2 linked regions of the Struthio camelus genome follow. The protein of the gene in region 2 interacts with the protein of the main gene of each other region in a biochemical or structural test. Links are inferred from orthologs where the notes say so. Each region holds a gene or a part of one and is shown on either strand. Other genes may lie near its edges. The genes, in order: FGF14 and SCN8A.

Region 1 (15,323 bases), on a different chromosome or scaffold from region 2:
TTAAAGGACAATGAAATTCTTCTGTATTTCCTTTACTGGCATTGCTGAGAACCAAGAGATTATTTATATGTAAGCAGAAGGCTTTGCTTTTATATGCAAACTCTCTCTCCTGTTTAAACCATTCCACAGCGGTATAAAATCCTAGTTTTCAGGTGACAGTAGAGCTCAGTTCTTCAAAAGCTTGCTCAAGGGTGCAATATCCCTCTTCTTCCCTCGAGAGAAAGGACATTGCAATAACATGCCCTTTGCAGGAGATACTTCCTTATCCCATAGGCCCAGAAAATCCACAGGAATGAACTCCCTTCAGCTGGACGAAAGCAGAGACAACCTGTCATCGTGGGACTTGCTCCTCCTTACGGCACTACAGCTCTGCGAGTTTCTGAGCTATGGCGAAACTGTGGTAGCACCCAGCAAACACCCCATACACAACCAAAAACCTCCTCTGACTCCAGTAGGCTCACAGAGGCAGATCCTCGTGCAAAGGAGGTCAGTAGCTCCTTTATCTTTGTCCTCCAAAGCCTGAGACATCCTACTTCCTCAGCAAAGGCAAGCTAAACTGCAAAGGAGCACAGATGGTAGAAATACTGTATATTTTTTGACAGTTCAAGGATGGAGAAGACACAATGTAAGAAAAACTCCTCATCTTCTAATAGATGAGAAATTCCTCATAATCGGTAATCACAAATAAGGAGAAGTAACAGCAGACAGAATTAGCCTCTATTTCTCACAGCTCAAGAACAAGAACAAAGGAGTACCAGCAAAACATTAAGCCCTCCACACACCGTTTCTACACAGCACATAGCTAAACAGTGGAACTCACTGTCACGTGACGTTTAGATGGCCGAGAAAAGATACTGAACATGACAAACTGAACGCATATATCTCCTTCAGAGGCTACTAAACGTAGTAGTCTGAAGAAAAGCTCCTATTTAAGGCATTTCAGTGATTGCTGAAAACTGAGAGCACAGATAAGAGGAAGGAACAAACCTGGATTTGCCCATTTCCTATATTTTTCTTATACCATCTACTTCCCAGTGTTGGAGACAGGATACCTTCAAGAGCTAAGGCATGGGTCCTGCACATTCTGTAGTCTTACTATGTTCTGATCTTTTCAAACGACACAGCTGCATGAAAAAACAGGCATGACATGATGAACCTTCAGAGAACAGAAAAGTTTATTCCCATATCAGTTCACTGAAATACAGACCTTTCTGGAGTCTTCTTAAAGTTTTCACAGAGGATTAGGGCTTATTTGTATCATTGTCTGATAACAAAAGCAAAAACAATTCCAATAGGATCAACATGTTCAACCTTGGTACTATTCTACTGTCAAATGGGATCTGTTTAATTTTAGTGCCACAAAATGGTTAAGCCAAATCATTTTCAAGATACTGCCTTCTGTATGCAAGCATTAAAATTATTCAGTGCAACTCCTCATACTGTTTCGAGTTAAAAGTAAAATAAGCAGGTGTCAGAACCAAAATGCAAAGTACGGACATTAAAATTACACCAACTTCTGTTATCAACGGGGTAGCATTTATTGTCATTTACCCCACACCACCATCCAATATTAACACTCAAACTATTAAAATATTGCTTATGTTCGACACAATATGTAACTGGAATTAATGCATTGAATTTTACTACAGAAGATATTATTCTGACTTCTCAATGCAGTCTCATCGGCAACTATTTCCATTGCTACTATTCAATATAAGTGCTTTTAATAGGGTGTGCTACAGACATACAAAAAAAAGCATTCCATTTATGCATTAAAAGCCTTTCACTTAATGATTTTGGAGGTTTTGCCTGCAAAGGACCCCCTTCCAAGACAGCATGTTCCTGATTCGGATAACAGCTGTGTTTGTTATTCATATGCTATTCACCGTTGGTGCAGCATATCTTAAAAAAGTGTTACTTACATATATTTTGCTCACTGTGGATTCAGTCCATCATGGTGCCAAACACCATCAGTTTCCTTTGCAATTATAATTTTCAGCACTTCTGAGTGGCTCAGAACCTCTCAGGATCCACTTTGAGAACACAATAAATAATTTTTTAGTATCCAGTCTGAAGATGAATATACTGCTTTGAGCACTTCATCACATGGTCTCAGATAAAAATATTTCCTTCCCACTCACTTCATTTGTTCTGACAGCTGAAACACGCTCTGTGCAAGGCACTTTCTAAACTAAACATGGGCCCGGACCTGCAAAGTTTATTGCCAGGTACACTACTATACTACTTTATACAGCCCTTCTGTAACAGAGGCAAGTAACTTCCAGGTACATTAATTGTTCAAGCCTTGTGCTACACCACAATTTTTTTGTTGTTTTTGCATCACTGAGGTTTCAAAATTTTAAAATCCATCTACATTTTGTTACTCAGTAAGATGTTTAGTAAGCTAGTAAGTTAGCTTTGAAAAGCTATCACTCACTGAAATGCAAAAAGCAGATGAAACAATCAACAGCACACTTATGCAATGCTCAGACGTTGTCTTCAGTTTTTAACATGTAAGAAAACAAGGCATGGGGAAGAAACAGCTTATCCAAAAACATAAAGGGGATCTTAAACAGAATTAGGTATAGAAACAAATCACTGCTCCCAAAGTAACAAGATCATCTCTGACTGTAAGAACCCTGCTCCAGGAGGAGCCCATGCTCACGGGCACATTTGGCTGTAGATACTCAGCATAGTTTAATTTGCACACAGCCACTTTGTTTACCCAACCACATTCTGAACTTGCAGCATTTCACTCTACATGTTGAATAATTATACCCCCCCAAAAAAACAGAGTAATTATACAAAAACCTTAAAATAGCAACGCCACAAACTACAAGACACCATCACAGATTGGTGGAACATACTGCTTTTTATTTCTTTGAGTTTATGAAGGCCTTCTGAAAAACTGATTTCCAAACAGCTCCCCCTTTTCCAGATTATATTTTGACAGATACATTTACCAGACAGAAAATCTCCACAAAGGGTCAAGTTCTGAGCCTCTAACTCCTTACTTAGATTTGAAGTCAGTGGAAGCTTACCTCAAAATTGATACACTTAACAAGTAGGCAAGTAGAATAAATATCACTTTCAGATGAAAATTGCATAAATATAAATATTTAAACCAATGATATCTATAAATACACTTTGCATATTTTCCCTCAGCCTAAGATATCTTTTGTATATTTGAATTCATTTATAAATGGCCTGTCATTAGCTGACATTGAACTAGGTGTAAGCATTTTATCACAGTAGGGAGATTCATGAGCAGGCATAAATTTCACCCCTTAACAAGTATAATATGCAATTTAGTTTGATCAGGAATAATTAAATTTGTATGAATTCAGGAAATGTATTCCATTGAGGACAAAACTTCAGTAGGTGAGATACATGTAAATAGGCCATTTTACATTTGAGTGCTGTCAGAGAGAAATACGTGGTGCCTCTAATAACAGTGTAGGTATTTAAGCAGTTGGAGCTGCTTTTCAGACCTACGTGAAAGAAACTTCAAGGACCCAATCCTGCAGCTGTTACTTAGGCAAAACGTCTTTTGTCTTTTGGTGGGAGGTTTGTTTTCCAGGAGCAAGGAATGCAGCGGGTGACCCCAACTTACTTAGAATTCAAATAATGCTACACAATATGTATCTTACAACAGGATCAAAGCCTCTGCTTTAAACAGATCTATTCTCACATGGCTATGCTTAGAAACTTCTTTTGAATGATAAGTAACCATTAAAGAGCAGTCTGACTATTGTATGAGGAAGGAGTTTAAAAAGGGATTATACACCAAGCCCCGTTTAGACACAGTCCTCATTTCAGATGTCCTTTTTAAAAAGATTTTGTGCTTGAGATTGATATGGGATTGATACTAACAGAAGCTAAATTCCTCTGTCAGCAACATATTTATAGTAATGCCAATTTCCATCTACACTCCTGTCAACAGCCTTGACTAGGTTGGAGAGATGCCTCTCCTTGGAGGTAAATGGAGAGGGAAATGTGATACATCCTCTGACTGCTGGGCTGCCACCACGAGTGAAATGCGATAGCAATTCCAGCCACGGGGGCATCTAGCCCTCTGGCCAACTCACTCATTTCCCATGGGCAACCTAACAGCTGTCATTTGGTGAAAAATTTTAGTCACTTCCTGTACTTGCTTCAAAAAATACTTAAGAGTTACTCTCCTTCCCCATTTCTCCTCAAGGCTAAAATCCTCCCCCTTACTTAGCCCTTCCCTAACTGAACATACTCAGTTTAGACCCTCAGTGGGAAGCCACCAGGATGGTATCTTACCATTACAGGCCCTGGTTCAGGCCTTATGGGCTCAAGCAACTTTTAACTCTCTGTGAGACTCCTTTCTCTCACACTTTGTAAAATCCTTTCCACCTGTACGCCTCGCCAGAATGGCAGAGTTAAGTGGAAATGATTACATACAGCAAGCAAAGCCAAGGGAACCTAACACATTGTAAATATTTTCATGCTGGACAAGATGCTGAAGATACGGGGAGCATTGTTTCTTCTTGCATTATTAGACTCAGGAAAATTCAAAAAAATCCCATCAGTGCAAGCAAAACCACACTTACTGATTGTCAGAGTTTTTCCCCTTGTGAAGAAATATAACATAGGTAAATAATTTTAGCAATCAATGACAGCTCTTTCCAGGATCCCGGATTTGAAATAGAAAGGGTTTTCAGCCTCCTGCATGTCTATGATGGATAAACTAAAGCTTCCTGACGCAACACTGCCAGTGATTTGCACAACTCCCACTGGACTCCACATCCTTCCTTGCCCTGTTCGCCCCTTGCTCTGACCCTGCTTTGTGCCAGTAGCCCCAGCAGGGCCACCCGGAGGCCCCCGGGGATGGCAAGAGAGCCCCGGGAGGAGGTGAGCACAAATGAGAGGGTTGCAGCCAGCGGCAGGCAGGAAATGCAAAGCAAAGACTACCTGGAAACAAGCCACCCAGTCCCATTTCTGGAAAAAGACCAACTATTGAAAGGAACAAAAAGAAAAGTGCATCAGGCCAAGAATAGCTAGCTAAATTGAAAAAAACAGACACCGTTAGCTGCCTAACCTGCCTGATTCTCCGCACGGTGAGATGAGCAGCAGCCGCTCGTTCATGTGGCACCTTCTGAAAGCAAAAGACCCACCTGCTCTCCAGAAGTTTTGCGGAGAAACCAGGGCAGGGGCAGTGTGGGGTGCTGGACCCAGGCCCAGGGCTGCCCTCGCAAAAGCGGGGCGCAGACCGCTGCTGTGGCCCCGGGATGGCTGCGAGGGAGGGTGACACGACACCAGCCCGCTGCTGCGTTGCAGGAGGGGGAAATATGAGCAAGAAGGAAGGGCATCTTTTGCCCTCGAGCAAGAGCGCTGATTATCGGAATATCAACTAATCCAGTCAAGAAGATTAGTGCTTATGAGCCTTTCCAAATAGTTAATCATTGTTTAATGCTACTCTGGAAAGGGATTTTAGCATTAGGCATACGGTCTGGTCTTGTTTCCTCTCCCCTTCGCCGGAGTCACGTCGGATGAGAGCAGAGGGTGGGTAAGCTGTGCCCGGCACCCCTCACGCCCGAGGCACACAGACCGCTGCCTGCTCGCACCCTCGGTGGCCAGGGGCTCCCAGCCAGCGCCCCGCCAGCCCGGCTGCCGGCCCCGACGGGCTCAACCTCGCCCGGGCCCGGTGGTGGGAGGTGCTGGCCGCTCATCCCTTGCCGAGGGGGGCAAGCTCCCTGGGCAGGGGAAGAGGTGTGCTACGGGGCTTTGAGATCGCTGCCCCCCGCCCCCCAAGCAACCTCCCCCGAGCCACCCCTCCGAAATCGTGGGGTTTCGGCTTGCGGTGCTGCTCTGTGCTGGCAGCCCCCCCCTCCCCCCCGGGGGAAAGGGCACGGCGGCAGCGGTGTGGCCGGGGGGCGTGTGTCTGTGTGTGTTTGGGGGGGGGGGTTGTTACGCCTCTCCACCAGCGGGATGCGGACTGAAAGGTCTAGAAACCAGCCCTGGCCACCAGCCCCTGCTGGGGGGCACCGTCGCGGCGGCCGCTGAACACCCTGCCCGGGCGGGGGGCAGAGGGGCCACCCCCAGGCGGTGGGTGCGAGAAGCTGGCAGCTTGCCCTGTCCCTGCCTGGCCCACTCCGCCGCGGGGTGACACACGGTTTGCAAGCTGCCCCCTAAGCGGGGGTGGCCGCCTTGCTGCAGCGCAAAGGGAGTACTCAGCGGGAGGTTGAGCGCTGCGGCCGCTGCCCAGCCTCCAGCGGGGGCATTTCGGTCTCTTTGGTATGCCGAGAAGTGGCTGCTCTGTGCTGCAGCGGCAGCGATGGGGAGGAAAGGAGCGAGCCGAGCTGGCAAATGGCAGCGGGGGGGGGGGGGGGGGGGGGAACAAAAAAAATCCGCCGAGATGTCCACCTCCACTCTTTGCACCGGCCCTGAGCTGGGAAAAGCAGCAAGCCGGCTGCCCAGGGTGGGGGAAGAGGGGCGCGGGCGGCCAGAGCTGCTGCTTGTTGATGTTGGGGTGTCAGAGAGGCAACGAGAGCCTATGATCTACTACACTGCAGTGCCAGCGTCAGGAGCCTCCTGCTCGGGAGCTGCCACTGCAGGGCAGCCGGCACACACACACGCACACACACACACACACGCACCGAGCATCCCTCCCCACACAGCTCGGGCTCCGGCAGCACTCGCCTCCCCAAGCACCCAAGTGCTTGCGGACAACCTGCCGGCCCGCGGGAGGGGGGAGGAGGGAAGCGAGCACGGCCGGAGGAGGGGAGAGTGGGGGACGACGACCAAAACCCGGTGTGAGGGGGCGGGGATGGCCGGTATTTCCTTGAAAAGCTCCCGGCTCGCACGCCCGGAGAGCACCGCTTCCCCGGCTGGCACCTCGCTCGCCAGCCGCGGGCTTGGCCGCACCGGCGCCCAGAGCAAGAGGGAAGCAACAGCAGCGGCCTGACCCCCGGGGACCGGGCGGCCCAAAGCACCTGCATTTGCATTTCTTATGTAATGTACTGCAAGTTTCCCCCTTGGAGCCGGGTTGAACCGAAGCGCATGATTTCCACCACCCCCCCCCCCCCGCCATAAGGCAGACATGGAGACGTTCACACAGACACCAGTGTGTGCACAGAGGGGTCATCCCGCCAGGGAGAGGCGGGGGACATGCAGCCACCCAGGTGGTGCTGCTGGAGCTGCTTGGCAAAATGTAGTTTAGTTGCCGTCTAGGACACGCAGGAAGGTGTCCACCCCCTTTCCTCAACCCCCTCCACTCTCCCGACCTAGAGCCATGGGGGCGTGAGTGCTAATGGGGAGCCCCGGGCCGGGGGGTGTCGGGCTTGACTTCAGAAAGCCGAACGAAGTGTGTGTTTTGGGGAGGGGGGGCAAATATTTTGCAAGCTAATCAGAAAGTGTTGTGCAGGACCGGCGCCCCGGCACGGTCACCCACCGCAGGCAGGGCCGGCTCACGCGAGCACAGGAGAGCCGGGCTCCTCTTCCCAAAACTGACTGCCCCTCTGGGGGTGTGCATGGAGGGGTCGGATCAGGGACGGCAGAGGGTGGGCTGAGCACAGCCCTTCAAAAGGGCAGCGGTATAAAAGTTTCCTCCTTGGAAATAGCACATACAAACTAGGAGATACAGACTGGCCTGGGGTCGCCTTGAATTTTTGTTTTTTGTTTTTTTTTTTTCCCCCGTGGTGACAGTGGCCGAAGCTAATCCAGACTGCTCCTTGCTTATTCATACACGTATGCACATGCATGTTCGTGCTGGCCTCGTTATATTTCCCCCTTCTCCCCACAGCAGGATTGCAGATCTACCTCGGCGAGCAACAGACAGGGTAGCATAAAAGAAAAACAACGCAATGCAATGGATTGCTTACCAGTTTGGTTCTTGTTTTTCTTAAGACTCTTGCCACAAAGACACTGCAGCATATGCGATCCTTTGCTGAAAATGTTCCAAAGAAACCACATTGATTTGGGCGAAAAGCAATCCAGCAGCTTATACACCCTGAGAAAGAAGAGATCCTTGTGGTTGCATAATAATAAATTGAGACCAGTTCTCCTGAAGAGGGGCACCAGTTTTATCATAGAAAAAATGATTATATTCCGATCTTCTCCCAGTTTTTTTTCCTCACGTGGTATATTTCTTTGAGACTTTTTCAATGGATGCTTTTTTCAGCCAGGCTGAATGGTTATTCCCCCTAGATCAACATTGGATTAGAACCAAAAGCGTGGAGAGAGGGAAAAAAAATCCCTTTTTCAGCATGAAGCCAAACGAAAAGTAAGGTAGTGAAATCCCAGCCGAGGCCAAAACCTCATCAGAGACACCGGCAAAACACCCGAAGATCCCCAAAGAGAAAACCATAGCCTGGTACTGGACTGCTAGGAGGATGGGTGGATCTGCAGAACAAAAGCCACGGCAGGATCCATCCTACTGCACGACTGCCATTGTGCAGCCCCGAGGCGGCAGAGCGCACCACCAGCACCCCGCCGAAGCGCGGCTGAGGCGCAGAGACCGCTGCCGGCCGCGGGCGCGGACCCCGCCCGCAGCCCCCGCCGCTGCCCTGCAGTCCCCGCCGCCCCCCGCGACGCCGCCCGCCCTCGCCCGCGCGGGCCGCTCGCCTCCCCTCCCGGCCCCGGCTGCCGCTGCGCCCCGCACCGCGCCGCGCCGCGCAGGAGGCAGCCACCAACCCCCCCCTCCCCTCCCCTCCCCGCACCGCGCCGCGCCGCGCTGCGCCGCCCGCCGCAGCCTCGGCGCCCAGTCGCCGGCGGGCGCCGGGGGAGGAGGAGCCGGCGCTGCCCCGCCGGCCCGGCCCGCCGTCACGTACCCACGTGCGGCCCGGCGCGGAGCGGCGCGGAGCGAAGCGCAGGGTCCCCCTCTTGCCCTCCGCGCCGCCCCGGGCAGGCGGCGCCGCCGCACCCGCTCCCGGCCGCCCGCCACCCCGCCGCTGCCCCGCGGCCTGCTCGGAGCTGCCCTCCTTCCCCTCTCGGCGCCTCTCCTCCCCCGGACCCGCTCGTGTCCGGCCGGCTTGCTCGTACCGCGGGCTCGAAGGAGACGAGCGGCCCACAGGGCCGTTACAAATCAACCTGAACGTGTGTGCTCCCAGGCGCTGTCCCTACTGGCTTCCTACCTAAAAAGTGTTTCGGCATGATTTTGGTATGCCCCGGATTAGGGCAGACACTATCTAGTTTATGTTAGCGTGGTACATCACGTTCCGGGATTCAGCACAACAGGGCTTCCCACACACTGCAAATACCCAACAAGGCCATCACAGAACAGCCTGTGCTGCTCAGCTGGGTTGGGATGTCCAAAGGCAGACAGGGCAGCTCCTGAGCTCTGCCACACTCTGCTCTGCACAGTCCCACGCAGGCAGTGTGGCTCTCTCCCCTGCCCTCCCCGGCCGGCTACCGCACGGCCTCTGTGGCTGCACCGTCCAGGCTGAGTAGCACAGAGCCAGTCCTGGAGCCATGCGCTTGCACTGGTGTTTGGCAGTGGTGGCACAGCTGGAGGCTGATGCCCGCCTTCCTCCTTCCCCCTTGCGATGCTCTGCTGGACTGTGCAGATACTGGAAGGGTTTGGAAGTGATGGGACAGAGCATGAATAAATGAGGGAAAAGAAGATGAGGTAGCAGTCGGAAGGAGTAGCTGAAAAGGAGGTGGAAGCAGAAAACTGAGGTAATAGAAATGGGATAGGGAATAGCTTTCTTTCCTCTCCTGCTCTGCCTCCCGATGCCAAGGTCTTCTACATCCTCTTTTTATCTCTCTGGAGAAAGTTCCAGCCTTTCCTCATTGACTTTTCTCAGTAACAAGTTAAAAATTTGAAGTATCTCAACACTGTTGCCACCTATGACATTTCTATTCACATTTACATTCCTTCGGGCACAGTCAGAAGTTAGTGTTTTCTCCTGAAGCGACGGAAGCTGCCGCTGCTCCAAGAAGTGTAAGGCTAAAGCAGGAAAAATGCAGGGTGAGGGTGGCCTCTTCCTCCCTGGTGAGGATATCTCTCTGGTTACACCATTTGGGAAACCCTCGCAGTTAATATTTAGCCAGCACACTAACAGAAGTGCTGGAAACTGAAAAATTCACCATAGTTTTGTGTTGATTCCAATGAGATTTGATATTTGTACATGCAGATTAACAGCTTGGCTGCCAAATCTCTGTCTATGTGATATATGAACATCATTATCCTATTTTCTGGAGATAAAGAACGATGCACAGAAATGAAGGGCTATATTGTGAGAAGTGGTTTATGGAGTTTGCAGTATATTATGTGTATGGGGTAGGTGTCTACCTCTAGGCACCCAAGCTTGGAAAAAGAAAAACAAACAAAACTTGAGCAAGAAAATTTAAGAAAGGTTAGAAATGAGTCACAGAAGAAATCAATGTTGTGCTTGGTCCCTTTTCCTGTCCCCTTGGTTGTGCTGCCTGTTGAGCTACTAAACTGTCCTTCCTGGTGTCCAGAAGTTGCACAGGCTGCTCAGAAGAAGAGCTGGCTCAGCCACCTGCAGCCAGCTGGCTGGGAGTTCGCAGCAGCCCTAGTGCTATTCGTGGCTGCTCATATGTCACTGCTCCCTACAAACATAAAATTGATCTAAAGTCTTCCCAAAATATCAGAGATCTCCTTCTATCTTTCCTTGACCAAAACAGCCAGCATTATATAGCCAGAAACAATCTGTGTTCTGTACTAAACAAAAAGTCACTGACAAGCTTTCCACCCCAATAATTGGTTTATATACCTCCCTCAAAGCTAGCATGTAGCTCTCTACTTTTTAAATGAAAGTAAAACTTCTTAACCGCTCATCATCATTCAGAGGTCAGGGATTGTGGCTACAGAACAAAAGGGGATGATTCTGACGGTAGTATATGATTTAAGGTTTACTGGAGTTAGAACAGGAGCAGAAACTGCATATCTCTACTGAGAAGACTAACATTCACCTTATATACCTGGTAATATGTTTGGAGCCCTGCCTATTTGAGCCTGTCTGGTAACACGCTTTGAGCAGGTCCCCAAAACAAGGCAAGCCTGCAGGGGAATAGCTGAGCAAGGGCAAGAGTTTGTTCAGAATACCTCTTCATGCAAACTCAAAGTTATGGAAAGATTAGCCTTTAGAAATAAGAGTTGACCTAATGTGAATAAATGGAGCAAGTCTTTTCTTCTCTGGTGAAATATGTATAACAACATTAAAGAGCCTAAAATATATACTTAGACCTATTTAGCCTAAGTATAAATTATCCTTTTCAAGACTTTAATTAATCTGTAAATGGTCTATCATTAAGTGACACGCAACTAGGTGTAAGCATTTTGTCACAGTAGGAAGATTCATGAGCAAAAATAAATTTCATACTTTATTTTGTACAATGTGCAAATGATCAAATCAAAAAAAGACCTCAAAAAAAGAAGAAAACATCTCCTCAAGTGCTCCCATCTCTTTTTGGATCATGGAATAAGAAGAATTTACTTGAAAGGGGATAACACATGTTAAAGATGGGGAGACCTGTTACGAAGATGGGAAGAAAATGTCATCTATATAGTCCTTTCAGGTCAAGAGAAATGAAGAATCAACAGGTGATATTTGGTCAGCTCCTTCCGCAAGAATTTCAGGTTCCCATGTGGGGGAAAAAGAGAAAGCACCAGTGATATATTGTGGTTACTCAGTCACTACCAAGAAGACTTCTGATCGCAGGTTTCAGGAGAGAGTCCCCTTTCTTGTAGTGAATACAGCATATTACCAAGAGTTCCTGTCATCTGGGTCAGAGAAAAGCAGTCCCTACTTAGAGACGCCATTTGGGAGGCCAGGGTGATGGTGGTGGAGGAGACCCAAATACCAGCTAACCTATTTCATGGGGAGGTGGTGACAGAGGACTCCATTTTATGCAAGAAAAATTAACTAAAACCTTGTTCTGGAAGTCCTTTGAAAATAGAGAGACAGTTTTCCCCAGCTGTCAAAGCACACCTACCGTACAGCCAGCTTGCATATTAGTCAGTAAGACTGAGCACAGAATATCCCCCTCAGCCTGAAGTTTCTGTGTGCATTGGTTACAACAGTAAGTTAGACAAGATTAACTGTTTACATGTAACTGTGAACTCGTGTGTCTTCTAAAATATAGAGTGTGTAATTCCCATATAGTCTAGAAAGTGAAAGATCTGTAGCTATCATTTAATGATTAAGGGTGAGCTTTGCCTGACAGAATAAGACACCTACGTTTAGATGTCTACCTGTGACATTTATATTCCATGGAGATCTTGAAACTGCTGCTGAAACTTAGATATCTAAAGCCATTTGAGACTCCCTAGGATATCTTGCTGCATAAGGCATGGCAGCTATGATACTAAACCTGTCAGAGACCCAAGCCCTTCTGTAGCTGCAGGCGGAGGCCATGGAGTGTATCCTGGAGCATCTCAAACGAGAGATGCATGGGCGATTGAACAGTCTCTACATCCCTATTGATTACAATGGAGCCTAGATACTCAGCTCGCAGGTTGACAATTACGTGCAGATTCTTAAGTTTAGGTGTCTTATCCACAAGTTGGATCACTAACTGCGTGTTTACAGCTGTAGGCTATTGTCACTCTAAGAGGCAGCTAGGTCTGAAATCCTCCTCTTCCTCTTCTATGCTGGGAGTAGTGTCTGGAGCTGTAGATTAGGCTCAATTCTTCATCATATTTGTTGATTGATTTTTGGACTATTCCATGGAAGAAACATCAGAAAGAAATACAAGTGTATCAATAGCAATGGAGATAAAGGTATCTAGCCTTTTGGAAGTTTCACCTTGCTCCTCGTAGGAAATGGGAGAGAGAGGACTTGCCATTCTCCAGTGATTCAGCATACGGGCACACACCCAGAGAAGATGAAAGGGGTGAGTTGGAACATGGGATGATTTTACAGGTCAGAACGTGCTGATCCACTCATTCCAGTCCAGTGCCAGTTTCTGTAGGACTATAAGGATCACATTTCTCATCTGAAAAAGGAAGGGAGGGAATGAGAGGTAGGCATGAGTCCTGAATAGCTCTGAGAGTGAAGGTGGACTAGACAAGAAATAGTACCCTATAAACTCCCCACAAGCAGATGCTAGCCAAATCCCTAATTAGGTATATTCAAAAAGAGGTAGAATATCAGTAGAATATCAGGATTTCCCTGTTGTTCTGAGGAGATGAAAGAGCTGCAGGGCGTTCCTGCAGCAACTAACAGGAATAGTGCCCTTAACTAGTGGTGCACGGGTGCCCTGTACTGGTGCATGTATGGAGGTCCTGGGATTATTTTAGATTGCTAAAGCAAGGGGATGTTTTCATACACATAAGTAGAGACCCCCATAATCTGTGTCCTACTTACAGCCTGCTATTCCATAGCAGCATTGCATGTATGGGAAAGAAGGACCTAGTCAAACGGGAGGAAAAGGGCCCTTGAGCTGCCTCCTCAGTAGGGGCCTAAATAGGTCCTGCTGTTTGGGAGGAGCAATTGTGGGAGGAATCCAGCTGTCTCCATACAGCATAGTAAGCTTTCATGAGCGAATAACCGGGTGGTGGGAGGGATGTGAGAATGATGCGGACTGTGTTATAAAAACGTTCTAACACTCGGAAACCCTGTTCTGTTACTCTTTTTGGACTGGAAGCACAATGAAATGCTTTGCAGGGAGGTGCCAAGATCAGTTTACTGAACAATTTGTTATTATTACTGTAGTAATGCCAAAGAGCTTTAGTCGTGGATCAAGACCTCAGGATGCTGGCCTCTGCAAAACACAAAGACTGTTTCTGGACTAAGTCTTCCTTTGCAGGAAAGAATAAAAAAAAATTAATGTGGAAGAAACAGCCAAACTGAGACAGCTCAAATATTTTCCTGTGCTAGACAATATTGAACTCATTCAACAGTCTGTAGAAAGCATAATGAGAGATGTTCATAGAGGCACTGAAATGTTCCTGAGTGCCTTAACTGTGTGAATATCTCCCTTGTCACATATGAAGTCCAATGAACATAACCATGTATCAGTCCTTTGGGGTGTGTATAAAGTCCGCTTCTTCCAAGTGAGAGACTAAACACACGCTCCAGCAGAGCAGAGGGTCCAGCAAGTGGCAAGACATAGGATGCAGGAGGAATCAGTGTAGGCTCCCACATAGGTTTTGTCTTCAGGAAGCCTATCAAAATTCTCTGCATCAGATTTGTGACAGATGTGCCTGATCAGGTAGCTACAGCCTAATTTACTTCTACCTAACCAAATCAATCAGAAGGCAGCAACTGCCTTTAAGACACTTGGCAGGGGCTAGGGACTAGTGACAGGTGAGGGATTCACAGACTGAACTTTTGCACCTGCAGCCATCTCCCGGCTGTGCTGGTGGGAAGTGCCCAGGTACCGGCTCCTGCCGGGCTTCAGCACAAAGCCTGGCTCAGCTAACCGAGACTTCGGAGAGCCCTGGCCACTACGCAACATACAAATATCTGTAAAACAGTCTAGTTATGACATGGGTCTAGACAACATCCTTTATTAAATTAGTAGCCTAATACTGACGTGTTTTGCTCTATGGAAGCACAAGTCAGTCATTGCAAAGACCATAATTTGTAGTAAGCGTGAGATCATTGTGAAAAAAAAATGCAGCTATGGGTACTAGAGCAGAAGGCATTCATTTTTAAATAGACCTGGTTCCAGCACTGCTTGCAAATGCAGATTGTGCCTCTTTTCCTTACCTTCAATAATAGAAGTTTCATAAAGTGCAAGAGCACGTACTATGGGGCAAAGAGTAGCAATCTGAGAAATATAAAAAAAAATGAAGGCCATTTTTTTGAGAAGGAATGTCTCAAGGATTTAAGGGCAGTGGCACTGAAGGAGCAATTAGCTTTGATTCTAAGCAAATACTGCAGATTTTAGGACAGAGGAGAGATTTAAAAATAGCTTAGCCTAGGTTGTTTAGGTAATACAAAGGTATGGCATCTGTAGTTGCTTGATTTAATTTCAGATACCTGTAATTGCTATGAAGACTAACTAGTGAAACTTACAGTTCTTAAAGGGCAAAACATTTGTGTTAGAACTCTTGTGGCTAAATTAAAAATTGTGTCAGTAAAGGACAGCAAAATGCTTCAAGTGGTTTAAGAGGAACAAAATAATTCTGCTTCAGTGGAGCTTCTGAAAGGCTTTTATGTTTGTGTCTCAGCTTATATTTATTGCATTTGAAAGATGTGAAGAAATCAAATTATTAGAGAAAGAAGATAGTGTCGTGTTTTGTCACTGACCTGAGCAATAGGAGTAACAATGTATCTGCAAGATGCTTGCAGTAGATAACCGGCAGCTGCTGATGAAGGTATAAATAAAGCATGATATCTTATACTTCATGATACGATACAAGAAGGAAGGATAAAATATAT
Region 2 (15,514 bases):
GCGCTCCAGGAGGAAGGCAATCAATAGTGAATGGAAACCATGTGACCACATGAACACTGTGTGCCCCGGGGAGTCACATACGGCCTCTGGTGCCGACCGCTTCTCGAGCCATTGAAAAATAGTGAGCATCAACTGATAGGTAAAGAAAAGCCCTATCGGTTCATTTTAATCAAAAAGCAAGCTAAACAAACCCACAAAAGAACGCAGACACAGCAACTAGAAGGGGGAAGAAGATGACAACGTGTTTTAGAATTTCGAGCTCTGCTCTTTTCACTCAGTGCTGATTTAGTCCCTAGTTCTCCCCCTCTAACCGAAAACTAAAACAAAACACCCATGCCGCATTTCTTGCGCCACGCAATCGCGCTCTCTCTCTGTCTCCTCGTCGCAAACCTAGCTCTCCCACCTCGGCTCAGCCAATGTTCACAGGACGCTCCTTCCGCTGAGCGATCCAGAATTACGAACCGGACCTCGAGCTGGGTATTTCCCTGCCCAGAGCCGGTTACCTAACCGGGCAGGGGGATCGCAACGGGGCCAGGCGCCGCCGGCCCGGCCCGGCCCGGCCCCGCCGGCCGCCGCTGTCCGTTTCAGCACCGCCGGGACGCGCCGCCTCTCGCCCGCCGCGCCCGGCCCCGACGTCCACCCGCGGCTCTGAAGCGGATGGCCGGACATCAGTAACGAGAAAACGGTACTGCTTTTCCCTTCCCCCCCCCCCCCCGAGGGTACCACTGGACTCTAGCAGGGGGCAATCAGGCTCCCGGAACAGCCTCGCTGCTCACGTTTGAGTCGTTGCCGGTGTGAAATGAGGACATACGGGTCACGGCTTCCCGTCGGGGCGGATTGCTGCAGTGTTACAAGGGCCAGGTGACATGTCGACACGCGACCGGCACCCCGAAAGACGACCCCACCTGTAAGACTCCTGAGCGGTCCCATAGCCAATCGCCTCCAACGCGGCGCACACGGAAAGGAAGCGGCGTCTAAACCTACCACCCCTGCAGCCCCGCTCCAGAAGCTGAGCTCAAGCCCCTTAGAGCCGCCCCTGCCGCACACGCTCCCCTCCCCGGCAGACTTTCGGACTTCCCCTCGGCTCAGCCGCAGCTCCGGCCGTGGAGTCTCCTCCGGCTTCCCCACCCCCACGTCAGCTGGGCACAATTTGCACCAGAAAGGAGGGGGGGGGGGAAGGGGGGAAGAAGACACCCAGATTTTTAATAGAAAAAACTTGTGAACAGGCAATTCCTTTTCCCTGGGGGAGGGGGGAAAAAAAAAAAAATTCTACCTTCCCCATTCCCCCAAATCCGTGCAGCGGGAGGAAGCGAGGGCACCAGCCTCGACGCCCACGTCTAGGTCAGTTAAAGCATCGAGGCCGCCCCACCGAGCTCCCCCGCGGAACTCTCTCCGCCAACTTCTCCCCCCGCGGCCGGCGGGGGAGCCTCGGGGGCGGCGGCCGGGCCGCTCCGCGGCAGGGACCGGGGTGGGAGGGATGCCGAGGGCTCCCGGCCTCTCCCGCCGCACGATGCGGACAGCGGCCCGGCGAGGAGGGGGAAGCGGGGGGGCCCCCCGGGAGAGGGGGGCAAGCGGCCCCTAGGGGAAGAGGGGTTTTGGGGGGGGTGGGGGGGAAGAGCCCGACCTCCGCGGCTCGGGAGCCGCCGGCGCTGGGAAACCGCTCTGCGGCAAAGCCCCCGCCCGCGGGGGAGGGGAGCCGGGGATGGGGGGGGGGGAGCGATTTATGGGGGAGGAGGGGGGAGGGAGGGAAAAAAAAAAAAAACAAAACCCAAAAAGCCGAGGGGGCGAAGGACGGCGCGGCCCCGCGCAGCCGTCGGGGCCCCCGGCCGGGCTGGACTTACTGCGGCGGCCGCGCTAGCGCGTCTCCCGCGGGGCGCTGCCGGACTGCGGCGCGGCGGGAGCTGCAGGAGGAACTGCGGTTGTCGCCATCTTGCTGCGCTGCCTCCGCCGCCTCCCCCGGCGCAGCGCGTCCTGCCCCTGCATCATTGATGACTCCGGGCCGCGCCGGCAGAGGGAGCGTGGCGGAACCCCCCCCCCCCCCTCACACACACACACCCCCCCGGGCTCCGGCCCCGGCTCCGCCGCCGCGCAGCGCCCCGCCCCGGCCCGGCCCCCCCGCGGGGCGCGCAGCGCTGCGCCGGCACCCAGCGAACCCCCCGGCGCCGCTTCCCTCCCGAGCGCAGCGGCAGCCGCGGTCCCCCCCGGCGAGGGGAGGGGGGGGGCGCCAAATAACCCCGACCCCCCCCCCGACCCCCCGCAGGGAGCCGAGCTGGGCGCCGGGGTCCCCGCCGACCGACGGGCGCCGGCGAGACCCCAACAGAAACAGCCGCTGCCGGACCCGAACTTCGTTTAGGCCGGGCCTCACCTCAGTCTCGCTTTCTGTCCGTGTAGACCAGGCTTCAGCAAGAAGTGCAAAAAAGCCCCGTAACTGACACACGAGGAGTGGGTCCGTCCTACGTGAAAGGTTTCAACAACTGTGCATAAAAGGAATAGTCTTTGTACCAGCCACACGCCACTGGCTTACATCATTAGATTGTGGCTACGACCGCGTTACTACCTGGTTCCGTTATTATTATTATTTTTTAAGATAATCTTCCTTTTTACTTTCACCTGGTAAGCTGACATCAGGTTCCTCAGGAAAGACCCTCCATGTTCTCGCTTTATCGATATTAAAAGCGACCTCTCTGATCAGCATCACGCGCTGGTGCAACTTTCCATCATGAGTCAAGCTTCAAGATTTCCATTGCATGAAGCAAAATATCAGCTCTTTGTTTTCCCTTTTGTTTTCTATGAAAAACGTTCATCAGTGTGATTTTGGATGTCTATGGGTGAGTTTGTACAAGGAGGGCATCCTCAATAATTCACAGCCAACAACCATACCGCTAACCTATGATCAAATTAGTAAGTGTTTTGGTGATTAACAGGTTTGAAAACGCTTGAGTTCTGAGATCACACCGTCTGCATGTAACTATATTCCTAGCTCAGCATTTTTGACCTTTTGACTAGTTTTAACAGAGGATTAGTAGTTTCAAAGATAACTAAGTTCCAGAAAGTTTTGTGAAAACACAAAATTGCATTGAGAAGGGAAATCTTTCAAGTACCACCTAAGATTGTAGTGAACAAGGGAAAGGCTGCAGCCTCCGTATCTACATTATCAGAGACCAGAAAATTAATGCATAGCAAATACAGGAGCATTTTATAAATGCTCCTGAAAAAACTCCAGTTAGAGTTTACTACGCAACATAAATCCACAGAAAATCAGGCATCGTTGGCTTCGATGCTCATGAAACCCCTGTAATCGATTTAACCCCTACGTTTGTCTCAAAGACTGCTGTTAGAAAGCAGCTGGCTATGGAATCACAAAGATCATCAGATAACAATGAGATTCTACAAAGGAAATAAAAACATCAATAAGACACTGATATCACGCATGCTAATGTTTTTTGCTAAGTAAATCCCGGCGCTGTCTTGCCTTATTCCAACTGCACACGGGTCACAAACTCTGGCAGTCTTGGGTGAAAACCTGCACTTGACTCTGCTTCCATGGGAGAACCTGAAGCTCCCACATGTTGCCAGCACAGATCTAGCATAAACTGCATAATTAGTACGTTCTGTTTCTTCAGCTCTGCAGCTCTTGGTTTCTAGCCCTCGGCCTTTTAGGATAGCATCAAGACAGAGTACTCTGTGGTGGCCCCAGATAAGAAACTGTATCAAGAGAAGGACGCCTTCTTGGCCATGGACGCTTGTATTTTGTCCTGAATCCTGAGCAGAAGGGAGGAGTCCTATGAGAAGTGACCAAGCAATGACGTATTTTAAAGAAGTCTTTTTGGGTTTCTCCTCAAAGATCCTTCCTCCACGCCTGCCAGTTTGCTCAGGGACCTGCGGAGCTGCTAAATGCCCAGCAGTGCACCAACGAGATTAAAGTCTACTCTTCTCAGCTACACTCCCATCATACAAGCAGATTACTGTTTTTTCCAGTGAAATAGTGAATAACAGAATCCTGATAATTGATCAAAGTTACCCTTCTTCATTGAAGACAGGGAACGCCTCCCCTCCCCCCTTTATACCTATAGCTTACACTGTTGGCATTAGAATTTTAGGATGAATTTTTATCATTACGTAATTCCTGTTTTCAATAGGACTGTGTCTGTGCTGCTGAGACAACAACCTGAAATGCTCTTATTAGGTTGCTGTTTTTTCTTTTTTAAATCCACCTTGCAGGAATGCCCTCTTCACGGGATTTTAAATCTTGTCCTCTGAGCAGAGCTTCAGGCATCGCATGCCGTGTGCTGAGCAAACAACCTCGCAGGGCACAGCACTGCGCTTGAGAACTCATTTATCTTGCTTTGGATACGACACAGGAACTAAATCTGCCCTCACTGTACAGCACTGACTTTTATGGGACTGCTCTAATGTAACACAAGGGCAGATGCAACCTGAAAAAATTAAGATATTTCAAACCAGAACTAAGCAACAGCAGTTATATACACATTAAATAAGCTGCTACCGAAATCCAAAGATTTGGAGAAAGTTTTGGTCCAAACTGGACTTTACATAGCATCTCCCAAATATAGAGTTTTAAAGTGTTCAAAAAACAAGATTAAGTCATACAACTTAAGAAACAAAAAATATCTTCTCTACATAGATAACGGTGCCAACACTTGGGACGGTACACTGCTGCACCCATCCCACTGTAGGGCAAAGCTGCCAGTACTGGGATAAGACCATCAACACGCAGACGGCCGTGCAGGAGCACACCCTGGCTTCCAGCGAGGGCACCCGCGGGTCTAGTGGATACGGTGGGCACATCATTCCCAATGGGTGCCAGCAGCACACCGAAAATACATCCTTCAAGGACGTTCCAGGGCCCCAGGGACGTTACTGCAGTCTGTATAAGACATCTCTGAGCAAGTTGCTTAAAGAAATAAGTAGGTCAATGCTCATATGTTGAGCAGTCATAACAAAAAAAAAAAAAAAAAAAAAGAAGGTTCTTATTGACCTAAATGATCCCCCCACAGCCCACTAGAGACTACTGCAGACGAGAGGCGTGAAGTTCAGCATAACGCCCGAGCGGAATTATACTTTCTGCAGACTGCACCCATCCACCCTCTTGCTGCCGTTATGGCTGGCCTTTGCCGACAACAGTGCAGTGCTCTGTTCAGCTATCAGGCCTCCCAACCCCATCGTTGCTCTCCTTCCGACTCCAGGCTGCCCTGCTGGAGGTATAAAGAATACCTGCTGGTTTCACTGGGGTAACAATATCATCCCTGCACTGAATGTTTGCTGCGGCATAAATCCTACCTTTCCTCTGGCTGGTTTTCTCTGTTTCTTTGACAGGAAAAACTATCATCCAGTCAGGAGATACGGTACTTGAGATAGAAGCACTTTCAGACTAATTTGACATAAGAGAAGGCAGGGTTGGGGCACACGGAGTTCTCAGAACCTCGGTATCTTCACAACAGCAGCTGTGCTATTAAATATCTAGTTCACTGTCCCAAGCCATGTTGAAAGGGAGCCCTCAGAAAATGAGTGCACTCAAGAGTTTACGAATATTTCCAAAATAATATGGCCTTGAAAAGCAGCTAAATGTAATAGCAGCTATAATATAATAAATATATAAGCAGATAACATAACGCCAGGTAATAATTTGGCTTGTAATCTGAATGGTAAAGCAAATAAAAACCATTAAACCCTTCCTTGGGTTAAAAAAAACACCACACACACAGAGGACTTGGGTGACAGAACAAAAGATAACTCTGCAATTATTGATCTGAACAATAACGAGCTGACACCGTGCTGTCTCTTTAAGGAGCACACAGCTGCTCAGTTCTAACAGTTTCATGCTTGACAAGGATACTCCCTTTTCCTTATTCCATCATTATAGCCCTCACTCCTCTCCCCTTCCCCGTTTATGTAGCGACCTCCGAATTGCCTGGTCAGTTCATAAGCTTTGCGGGCAGCGACGTGTCATACGTGTCTGCAACGCGCGCAGGGCGCCTCTGCCTCTGTAATAACAACCGTGCAACTGTATAGCTTTGCTTTTAACAAACACCATGCAAGCAAACCAAAGCTAAACAAAGCTCAGTAGCCGGAAGGACTATGTCGTTTAAGCAGGTAGCTACATGTGGATAGCTAAAGAGATCGCTACAGTCTTTTAGACTTTGACTGTCTCCTGAGTGCAATTCTTCCGTAACACAAGCGTACTGCGTTCTTAACCAAACTCGGTATCAACTACAAGACGAGCTAACGTCTAAAACTCCCAAGTTACTGGGAGAGGCGACTACTACTGAAGTGCGCCGCAAACCCTACCCCAATGGCTCAGGAGATGGTCAGAGGTATGATGATACAGCAGGCAACAAAACCCATAGGCCAAATCCACGTGAGGGTTAAAACAGTTGCTTCTCCCAGACACCAGGCTCAAACCAGACAGGAGCTGAGCATCCAGATTCCACCCAGTTCAACCTTTAAGTATATCCTCAACTCACAGGCAATAAATTGAAAACAACTTGACGTCTGCAGCAACTATAGCCTTACACATCTGTTACGTGAAGCAAGAATGCTCTGCACGCCTGGATTTCCCTTCCCTTTTCAGATGTTTCCAGCACTTTTGTGCAACTGAAGCGGTGACGCACTGTCACTTTAAGATGGATTTTGGAGCGTGGCCAGCCAGGAAAGACGGACACATCCGGTTCAGAGGTTAACGCTGGGCTGGCGAGACTGCACCGGCTGGAAGGAGCTGTCGGTGCAGGCTGCTGGGCGCTGCTTTCACACCGCGCCGTGCTCGGGGGCTCCGCACCAATGGTCCTCATCTCCTGTCTCCAGAGATGCATTCAGCTCATCATCTTGCCTGTATACATACTTGCCTACATGGGTTTATGGGACTCCTTCTATAAGAAAGTTTTTCCACATATCATGGCCAAGCTTGCACCAATCTACAACCATAAGGTCTACAAGCAGAAACAAGAGCTTTTCAGCAACTTAAGAAAATTTGCCGGCCCTTCAGGCCAGCTCAGGTTGTTGGAAATTGGCACAGGCACTGGCACCAATTTCCAGTTCTATCCACCAGGCTGCCGGCTTACGTGCACTGATCCTAATCCCAATTTCAGACAGTTCCTCCTCAAGAACCTCTCGGAGAACCCACACCTCCAGCTTGAACATTCGGTGGTTGCTTCTGGGGAGAATCTGCATCAAATACCGGATGGCACCATGGATGTGGTGGTGTGCACCTTAGTGTTGTGCTCTGTAACCAACGTCAACAAAGTCCTGAAAGAAGTTTTGCGAGTGCTCAGGCTGGTAAGCTGGGGCAGCGCGAGGAGGGGGGGGAAGTGATCCTGCTCTCACTTCTGGTTTCCTTTCCCCTGCCAAATTCTCTTTCTTTCTCTCTTGCAATCTTGCATTTTGGAGAAGGCCTGCCAATTTCTTCACACTCTCCTGTGCTGTAAATACCTGTAGACCCTTCTGCGATCACAAGGGAGAGCATCCATCCATCCTGTATCCTGTAACATTCAGATGCAACAGAATCAAAGTGGTACTTCTGGTCTGCACAGCGTACCACTCGCAAGTAATTTCACCTGCGGATGGAAGAACTAGTTCATGCTGCTTTACCGCTCTCTCCTTAGCACCTGACTAGCGCACTGCCAAGCACGCAGAAAGCCTGGAGTACCCGCAAGGCCGTGCTGATTGCTGGGGCAATCGGGAGACAGCTACTCAGAGCACCCTGGCTCCTGCGCTTGCAGCTGGGCAGCCTGCAAAAACTCCAAGACCAAAACTCTGTTTCAAGAGAAAAAAAGAAAAAAAAAACCCCAAAAAACCCAGGAGGTCCCAGGGGCTGGGAGGAGCAGGAGTAGAGCAGCACAGAATAACGATTGCTGCAATAAAATGGTGGAAGTAAAGGGCACGAAAGGAGAGAAGCAGGAAGGGATGTGAATTCTAACTCAGATAAAAGATAAACAAGAATTTCAGTTTATAGTTGTCCTACGCATTCACTAGCAAGTGCTCTCACCTTTAGACCTTGTTCTCCTGACCAGGTATTTTCATTATAATCTAAGGTGACACTTGTAAAACGCCACATTCGTACACATTTACATACCTCTCTCCTACTACAAAATACTTTTTTTTCCCCCCCACCAGGTATCTCAGAATAACTGGGGAAGGGTTTAAACTAAACTTAAGGCATCTCATATCCACATAGGTTGGGTTAAATCTATGTAACCGGTCAGAACCTTCCTGTGTCAATAAGACTTCATCCCTGGATGGGGCTAAAAGCCTACTTCCTTCTTCAAGGTAACCTTGCACACGCTTACAAAGCGATACTAGGGAAGAGGGAATAAGATCACACCCAATACGCTCCACTAAGAAGGGAAGGGAAACACCAGCTCAGACTCTTTGCCTTCTGTACGTGGATCCATTAAACAGCCTCTACTGTTAGGAGAAGGCTTGCTCACAATACTATAAACAACAGATAAAAGGCAAATCTCAACACTGAAAGGCATTGAATCAGATGCGGTAGAACACTGAGGGCGGCTGTAAGGCTGACAAAGAACAAACTATCACATGCTGTATATACTAGTTGTAGCCTCTCTCTCCCCTCCGCGGCATTTGATTTCTGCTTGCTAACAGCTATCTCATATGCTTTATAAACATTAAGAAATAAACTCTTTTAATTGCTGGTATGTAGGGCAAGCAACTTGTTTATTCACATTTTACAGATGAGAAGAACTGAAACACAGGGAAGTTAAGTGGCTTGTCCAAGGTCACCCAAGGCAGATGGGGCAGAGCTCAATACCCTGTGACAGCAATTCCCAACCACCAGACTATACTGCCTCTTGCAGAATTATAAGCTGCACCTATCAGCAAATAGGTAAAACCCACTAGCTTCTACCCAGATTGAATGGGAGGTCGTTACAGAGGCTCCGCTACTCAAAACAAACATGAATCCATCGCGCGTAATCTCTAGGAAAGGAGGCCACTATCCAGAGAGGTGGAAAAAGGCAGCTTGTTGGCTAAGAAGTAAATAATAAAATTCTACATACAGAGGTGAAACCTCCTAAGTCCTTTTTCTATTTTTTTTATGGTATTGTTTTATAGGGTGGAGCCTTTTACTTTGTGGAGCACGTGGCTGCGGATCGTTCCAGTTGGACCTACTTTTGGCAAAAGGTCTGTGACCCAGTCTGGAAGTGTCTTGGAGATGGGTGTTCCTTGAGCAGGGAGACACAGAAGGACCTGGAGAAAACTAACTTCTCAGAACTGAACTTGAGGCGCATACGTGTCTCACCACACTGGAATCCTACTAGTCCTCATATCATTGGATATGCAGTAAAATGAATGACCGTGAGCGCTGCAGGGCACACAACATCCCTTCAGTAGCTCCTTTCACACTTTCTATAGAGTATTTTTCACTGAATAGTAGCCTTACAGTCAACCCATACGCAGCAACTAAGTAATCAGAATAAAAACATGGAAATCTTCCTGAGCATCCATAGCTCGTTCAAACTGAGAATCACATTCTTCCATCTGTTAGACAGGTTTTCTGGATGGAGCTCTCAAGCAGAGCCGTGGCACACGGACCAAGCAAATTGGAAACAAAAACAGAGAACGCATTTCAGTGCGATACAAAATAAAGGAAGAGTCACCATCTTAGAGCTGAGAAAGAGGAGAGGGAAGACAGGGAACAGAAGATCTATGCAAACAAGTAGAGAGAGCTTACATCTTTCTAATAGCAGAGACTATTACTCAGCCTTTAAGATTTCAGATTCAGGACACATACATAATAGATATAGCATCAGTACAAGCATTTTTCTTTCAGTCTTCCCATTACAAAACACCACTAGGAGCCGGCGTTCATTCTCCCATGCCAGTCGAGTCCTCCCTTACTGGACTGTTTATTTCAGGAAAGTGCCCATTAGAGCACCAGTTCACTATACATAGCTTCCACTGGCCATTAGAGGCTAACGCTGTCAGCCTAGATTTAACTTACAACCTACAAAGCAAAAAACTGAACTTCTCCTTACGCTGGGAGAAAGCTGGCATTGGTTAAATCAGGCGACAGAAACCTCATCTCAGCTGTAACATGGTCTCTACTAAGCCATGCTCTTACAGCCCTTTTGTCGTGCTCTGCTAAGAAGCTAAACCTATGCTTAAACTTAATGTTCTACTCTCCCTTCAGTCCAGATTACACCTTTAAGATGTCAAGTTTTTGTTGTTGTTGTTGTTGTTGTTTTTTAAAGCCACACGTTTCATTAGGAATATTTTCCAGTTAAACTTCCCCAGGACACCAGGAGAAGGTGCTGCTATCTTGACCACTGTTTAACCTTCCTTTTGATTTCTCACAGTAAAGCATCTAAGAATTAAAATCTGGTGCAAATGATATTTAATAAAAGAATGCACTTAATGCCTCTGTTTTGTGCTCCACAAACAGACAACTGGTCTACACAGAAAGTACATCTGAAGTAATTCCCACTGTTTAGATTTGTTTCTCTGATGTAGTCAGCACGTGGTGGCGGTATGAAGGTATGACAAGAGAGTTTAGTAATAAAGCAGTCTAATAATGATGCTGCCATATGCTGGGTATTTTATTTGCTTTATTACCACTAGAGGGAGGAGGTAACTCCGCAGACAACAAGGCTACCTATCGCTCAACAGAAAAATAAACTCCTCCAGGGCAATTCGCAATACAACTGCTTGAGTTCGGGATCTGAAGTTGAGCGGTGCAAACGGTCCCCTTGTCCCTTTACCAGGCTCCCTCTAGGCAGAGCAATTAATTGCCAGTGGCTAATCTACACTGCTATTACTAAAGCCTGTGGAAAAAAAACACTGGTGATAGCAAAGTTAAAAAAGTTTAAAAGAAAGCATTTAGCATAAAATGGACTGTACATTGTCAACTCAAGCTTATAAAGTGAAAACCAAGCTACCATAGACAGTGATTACTGAATTAATAAATGGTTTTATCTCTGGGCCACGAGTCCCACCAAAGATCTGAAAGGTAGCCAAGAAAAGCGAGTTCATTCACCGCAAAGGAGTCCACATCCACAAATCAAAATATGTTAGGTGTCCATGAAGTGCAAAGACTGAAAGCTGCTGCTGCAGAGAAAGCACACAGCGAGCAGCTGACTAGCTCATCTAGCTACTTTAGATACCTAAAACAAGGGCATAAATAACCCTTAAACGTGTGTGTTTTAACCAAAATGTTAATCAAACAAAATTCATTATCTACAGCAAATCCAGAGTTTAGATTAACTTCCTACAGGCACTCACGGAAGACAAGCTATGGCTTCTTTAAGAGATGTAAACTGTAATCTGAAACCGCTGAACTCCAGGTTAGGGTGACTGATGACATGTTGCCAATAGTCAAATACAAAGATGTACTTTTCAGTTTATCTAGGTTACTTAACTGCCTGGCAGCTCCTTTTCTGGCAGCAACTTTTTTGCCTGAGCTGGGACATTACGGTAACTGCTTGGTAAGCAGTGCTGTTTTTCCCTTCCTTGCCTGTGACTGGACTTTAAAATCAGCTTTAGAGAAAAGTCCACCCTATCAGGCCAAAGAGTTGCACTTCAAGAGGAACACAGCAAGCACACAAATCCAGCTCTAAGTTTCAAGTGCTCTAATACGTAGAGGAACGAAGCACAGTACAGACTCAGTCTGCGCAGCACAGATTCTTTGCCCCCACGCTGGAAATGACGGAGGCCAGCATTCTCCTCTTCCGTGCCTGCTTCATGCTGCTCGCCATGCCCATCTATCTGCTATCGTTCCTGGGTATATGGGAGCCTTTCTGTAAGAAGATATTTTTTCCTTTCATCCTCGAGAAGATTGCTGCAGTTTACAACAGGAAAACAAAGAGGCAAAAACAGGAACTATTTCGTAATCTGCCCGAATTTACAAGCCCCTCAGGAGAGCTGAAGCTGCTGGAGATCGGGACCGGCTGTGGTAGTAACTTCCAGTTCTACCCACCAGGCTGCAAAGTGACGTGCACCGATATAGACCTTCACTTCCAGAAAGGCCTTTCTCAAAGCATGAGCCAGAACCAGCACCTGCACTACGAGCGCTTCTTAGTAGCTGCAGGAGAAGACCTGAGCCAGGTGCCCAGCGGTTCTGTGGACGCAGTCGTTTGCACTTTAGTCCTATGCTCTGTGCGGGACATAAACAGCACCTTGAAAGAAGTACTGCGAGTGCTCAGACCGGTGAGTATTTGAAGTTTTGTGTTATTACTTTGATCATCCATTCCAGAGGCACTGCACCAGAGCAACAAGTTGCCTTTGAGCTTACAAGTCAGACCCCATTGATTTTCATAGTAGAAATCAGATTTACAACCACTCTGCAATGCTAAATGGTGCAAAGCAGTAGCAGCACACTGTTCAGCCTGTCTTAGCTCAGCCTTAAGAGTAACGTGTTAAGTAAACAGAACCGCCACTAATTCTGTAAGTAATTACAGCACATCGCTGTACAGAACCGGCTCCTTTGTTGTTGTCTCTGCCCCCTCACACGCCAGATTTTGTTTTGGGGAGAAGAGGGGAAGTTCTGATCAAGGCTGAAAGTCGATGTTTTAAATAAACTGCTTTAGTCTCTTAGAAGAGGGTCTGATCTACCTGTATGACTAAAGCAATCTAATTAAATGCCTTCATTCCCTGTAGTGTCCTATTCAAACTAAGGATTAAAAAAAGCTATTTTTTGCAATAGAATTTCAGCCTTTACAATGGTATTTTCAATACAGTCCTTTGGGTTGTTAAAAACCCAGTGAGTTCTAGTAGGGTTTATGCACTTCACCTAGTTTCCTTTGAAATATGACACGCTAGCAACTGTAATTTAAACAAAAAGACAAAGAACAAACCATTGCTCTAAGAACAACGGGATCAAATAAGTACACCTTTCATCCTTTCAGAATATGCATTCTGAATCTCTGCAAGTTTCCTGCTCGTATTAATTCTAATCGACATTACTGAAGTAAAAAGCAGGCAGGAAAGGGGTAGAAAGAGCCTGTCAGAGTGAGCAAACCGAGTTTCCCGTGCATGGAATCGTGTTTGAGAAAAGGAGGGTCAGAGAGGGAAGGGTCTGCCGGGTGCTCGCTCCTTCTATGGTATTCTAAGATGACTTTGCTTCCCCAGGGCGGCGCTTTCTATTTCTTAGAACACGTGGCTGCTGATCATTCCAGCTGGAACTATTTTTGGCAGCAGATCTTATATCCCACTTGGAAGCTCGTGTTTGCTGGGTGTTGCCTAACAAGAGAGATATGGAAAAACCTAGAACAGGCCAACTTCTCCGAACTGAAGTTACAACACATCAGCGTTCCTCTACCCTGGATGCCTAATAAGTCTCATATCATTGGATATGCCGTGAAGTAATTCATATCGCGCTGTAACTTTCTCCCCTGTCCTCAGAGAAATTCCTTGACATAGTCAAAGCAGCAAAATGGCATATGCTAATCCAAATAACCGAACCCAGGTTAACACGATTAAGCTTCAGTTATCCTAAGTTTCGGCTGTAAATGGCAAATGAGGAAGAGGTTCAGCTTTCTATAAATCTTGCAATGGAAATAAATATGTTGATGACATGCTCTAGAGGTAAAGCATCAGAAACTGGTATCCTGAAGTTCCAGTTAGCATAAAAATAAAGCAGATCTGCTTGGGCACGTATAAAACCCTTCCATTGACTCCAGTGTGCAAGCCGCGCCTCGCAAACACTAGAAAACCGTCCCAGGTACGGGGCTGTTTGAGAAGCCGCCAGAAGCATACACACACACTCAAACACCTCCTCGCCTTATCTAAGCTCAACTTAAGTTTCAAAACAAAGCTGACCTGCTGGAGCGGCAAGGAGAGCGCACAAACATTTTGGTAGAGAGGCAGGGAAAAAAAAAAAAAGGCGTTAACTCCTTATGCAGGGGAGCGTCTGCTTGACCGGCAGGCGATTCCTCCAGGTGCTCCCAGGCCGATTTTCGCTGCCGGAGAGCGGGCAGAGCAGGGCACGGCGCAGCCATAGCGCTGTTTGACTCGGCAGCACGCTCTCTGTCCTGCTGGCTCAGCCTGTTCCCCTTTTCCTGAGGGGAAAAAGCGTTACGGAACGGGCAGGTACAACCTCTGCTTAGCCGCAGGTATTTGAGAACGGTTTTTGGGGAACAGGTATTTGGCCTCCTCCCAGGACGCCCATCCCAAGGCCAGCGGCTGTTTGGCTGCTGTTAACAGGCTGTAGTGCTGTTAATCGCTGGGGTGTTGGAGGACCGACGTCACCCGCGTGCCAAGCCGGTGCTCGATATGAGATGCTCAGTTAGTAAAGCACTGCCACGGAGCACTGGAGCGGAGGTGGGAGGGTCGCAGGGCCAGCAGCAGGGCCACCATCGTGCTGCCCCCCCCCAACTACCGGCTGTTGGTGGCCAAGGCGCGTGACACGCCCCGCCACACGGGCGCGGCCGCCATTTTGTGCTCGTCGACGCAGGATGCGGCCGAGGCGCGTCACGCGCCCCGCCACACGGACGCGGCCGCCATTTTGTGCTCGTCGACGGAGGATGCGGCCGAGGCGCGTCACGCGCCCCGCCACACGGGCGCGGCCGCCATTTTGTGCTCGTCGACGCAGGATGCGGCCGAGGCGCGTCACGCGCCCCGCCACACGGGCGCGGCCGCCATTTTGTGCCGTCGACGGAGGATGCGGCCGAGGCTCGCCGTCGCCTCGCTGCTGCTGCTGCCGCCGCTCCTCGTGGGCTCCGCGCCCCGCGCCCCGGCCCCGGCCCCGTGGATGTCCGCTCAAGGTACCGCCGCTGTCCCTGGGCGCTGCGCGGCAAAGCAGCGGGCGTCGAAACAGCTGGAGCGGGCAGGGTCAAGCGCTCGGGAGAACTACAATTCCCGTGAGCCCCCGCGCGGCGGCGGCGGGTCCCGCCCGGCCGAGCGACATGGCGGCGGCGGGAGGGTGGAGGGAGCCGGGCGGCTGGGCCCGTTGGCCGCACAGCTTCGCGCCGCGGCTACCCACAAACAGGCGGGGAAACGTTTCTGCCTATGCATAAATGAGATCAATACCAAAAAAGCAGCAGGGGCGGGAACCCAGTGGAGTCCACGTACCGTGGCTGGAAGCTGCTGACCCGAACGCCTACACGGCCGTGTACAATAAACACGCGTGCAGCTACGTAACAGCGCACACCCCACCAGACAGAAAAAATAAATATCTTATGGCATAAGAAACAATCCAAGGGACCTCCAGAATCAGAGCTCCAGCTGCGAACATAAAAAAAAAAAAGCCAAATACCACAATAGATGCCCCCCCCCCAAAAAAAAAAAAAAAGCCAGAACCCGCTGCCAGCCCGCTAAAGCTGCGTTTCAGGGTTTGAATGACCTAAGCGCCTCTGCTCTCTTTTGCAGAGTGTGGAGAACGGCCGCTCGCAGACGCGTTCTCGGGCCTTCGGATTGTAGGTGGACACGATGCTCAAGCGGGAGCGTGGCCGTGGTTAGTTAGCCTCCAAATTCACCGTGCCGGTGTAAAATTTAAGCATGTATGTGGTGGAGCTTTAGTTAATGAGAATTCAGTACTTTCAGCTGC

The links.
Region 1: the proteins of SCN8A (region 2) and FGF14 form a complex in vitro, tested with the Homo sapiens proteins (2 studies listed by BioGRID). The link is inferred for Struthio camelus from reciprocal best matches to the Homo sapiens genes SCN8A and FGF14.

The regions. Positions count from the first base shown.
Region 1 is NC_090942.1:162,781,713-162,797,035, reverse strand, and holds the start of FGF14 (fibroblast growth factor 14), read right to left. Parts: upstream 8,474-15,323; 5' UTR 8,059-8,473; coding exon 7,851-8,058; intron 1-7,850. UniProt on the Homo sapiens protein: Probably involved in nervous system development and function.
Region 2 is NC_090969.1:1,275,430-1,290,943, forward strand, and holds the start of SCN8A (sodium channel protein type 8 subunit alpha), read right to left. Parts: upstream 6,614-15,514; 5' UTR 6,535-6,613; intron 2,475-6,534; 5' UTR 2,366-2,474; intron 2,084-2,365; exon of another isoform or gene 1,842-2,083; intron 1-1,841. Other genes in the region: thiol S-methyltransferase TMT1A, read left to right, coding at 6,799-7,293, 9,088-9,324; thiol S-methyltransferase TMT1A, read left to right, coding at 11,674-12,177, 13,099-13,335; TMPRSS12 (transmembrane protease serine 12), read left to right, coding at 14,630-14,732, 15,337-15,421. UniProt on the Homo sapiens protein: Pore-forming subunit of a voltage-gated sodium channel complex assuming opened or closed conformations in response to the voltage difference across membranes and through which sodium ions selectively pass along their electrochemical gradient.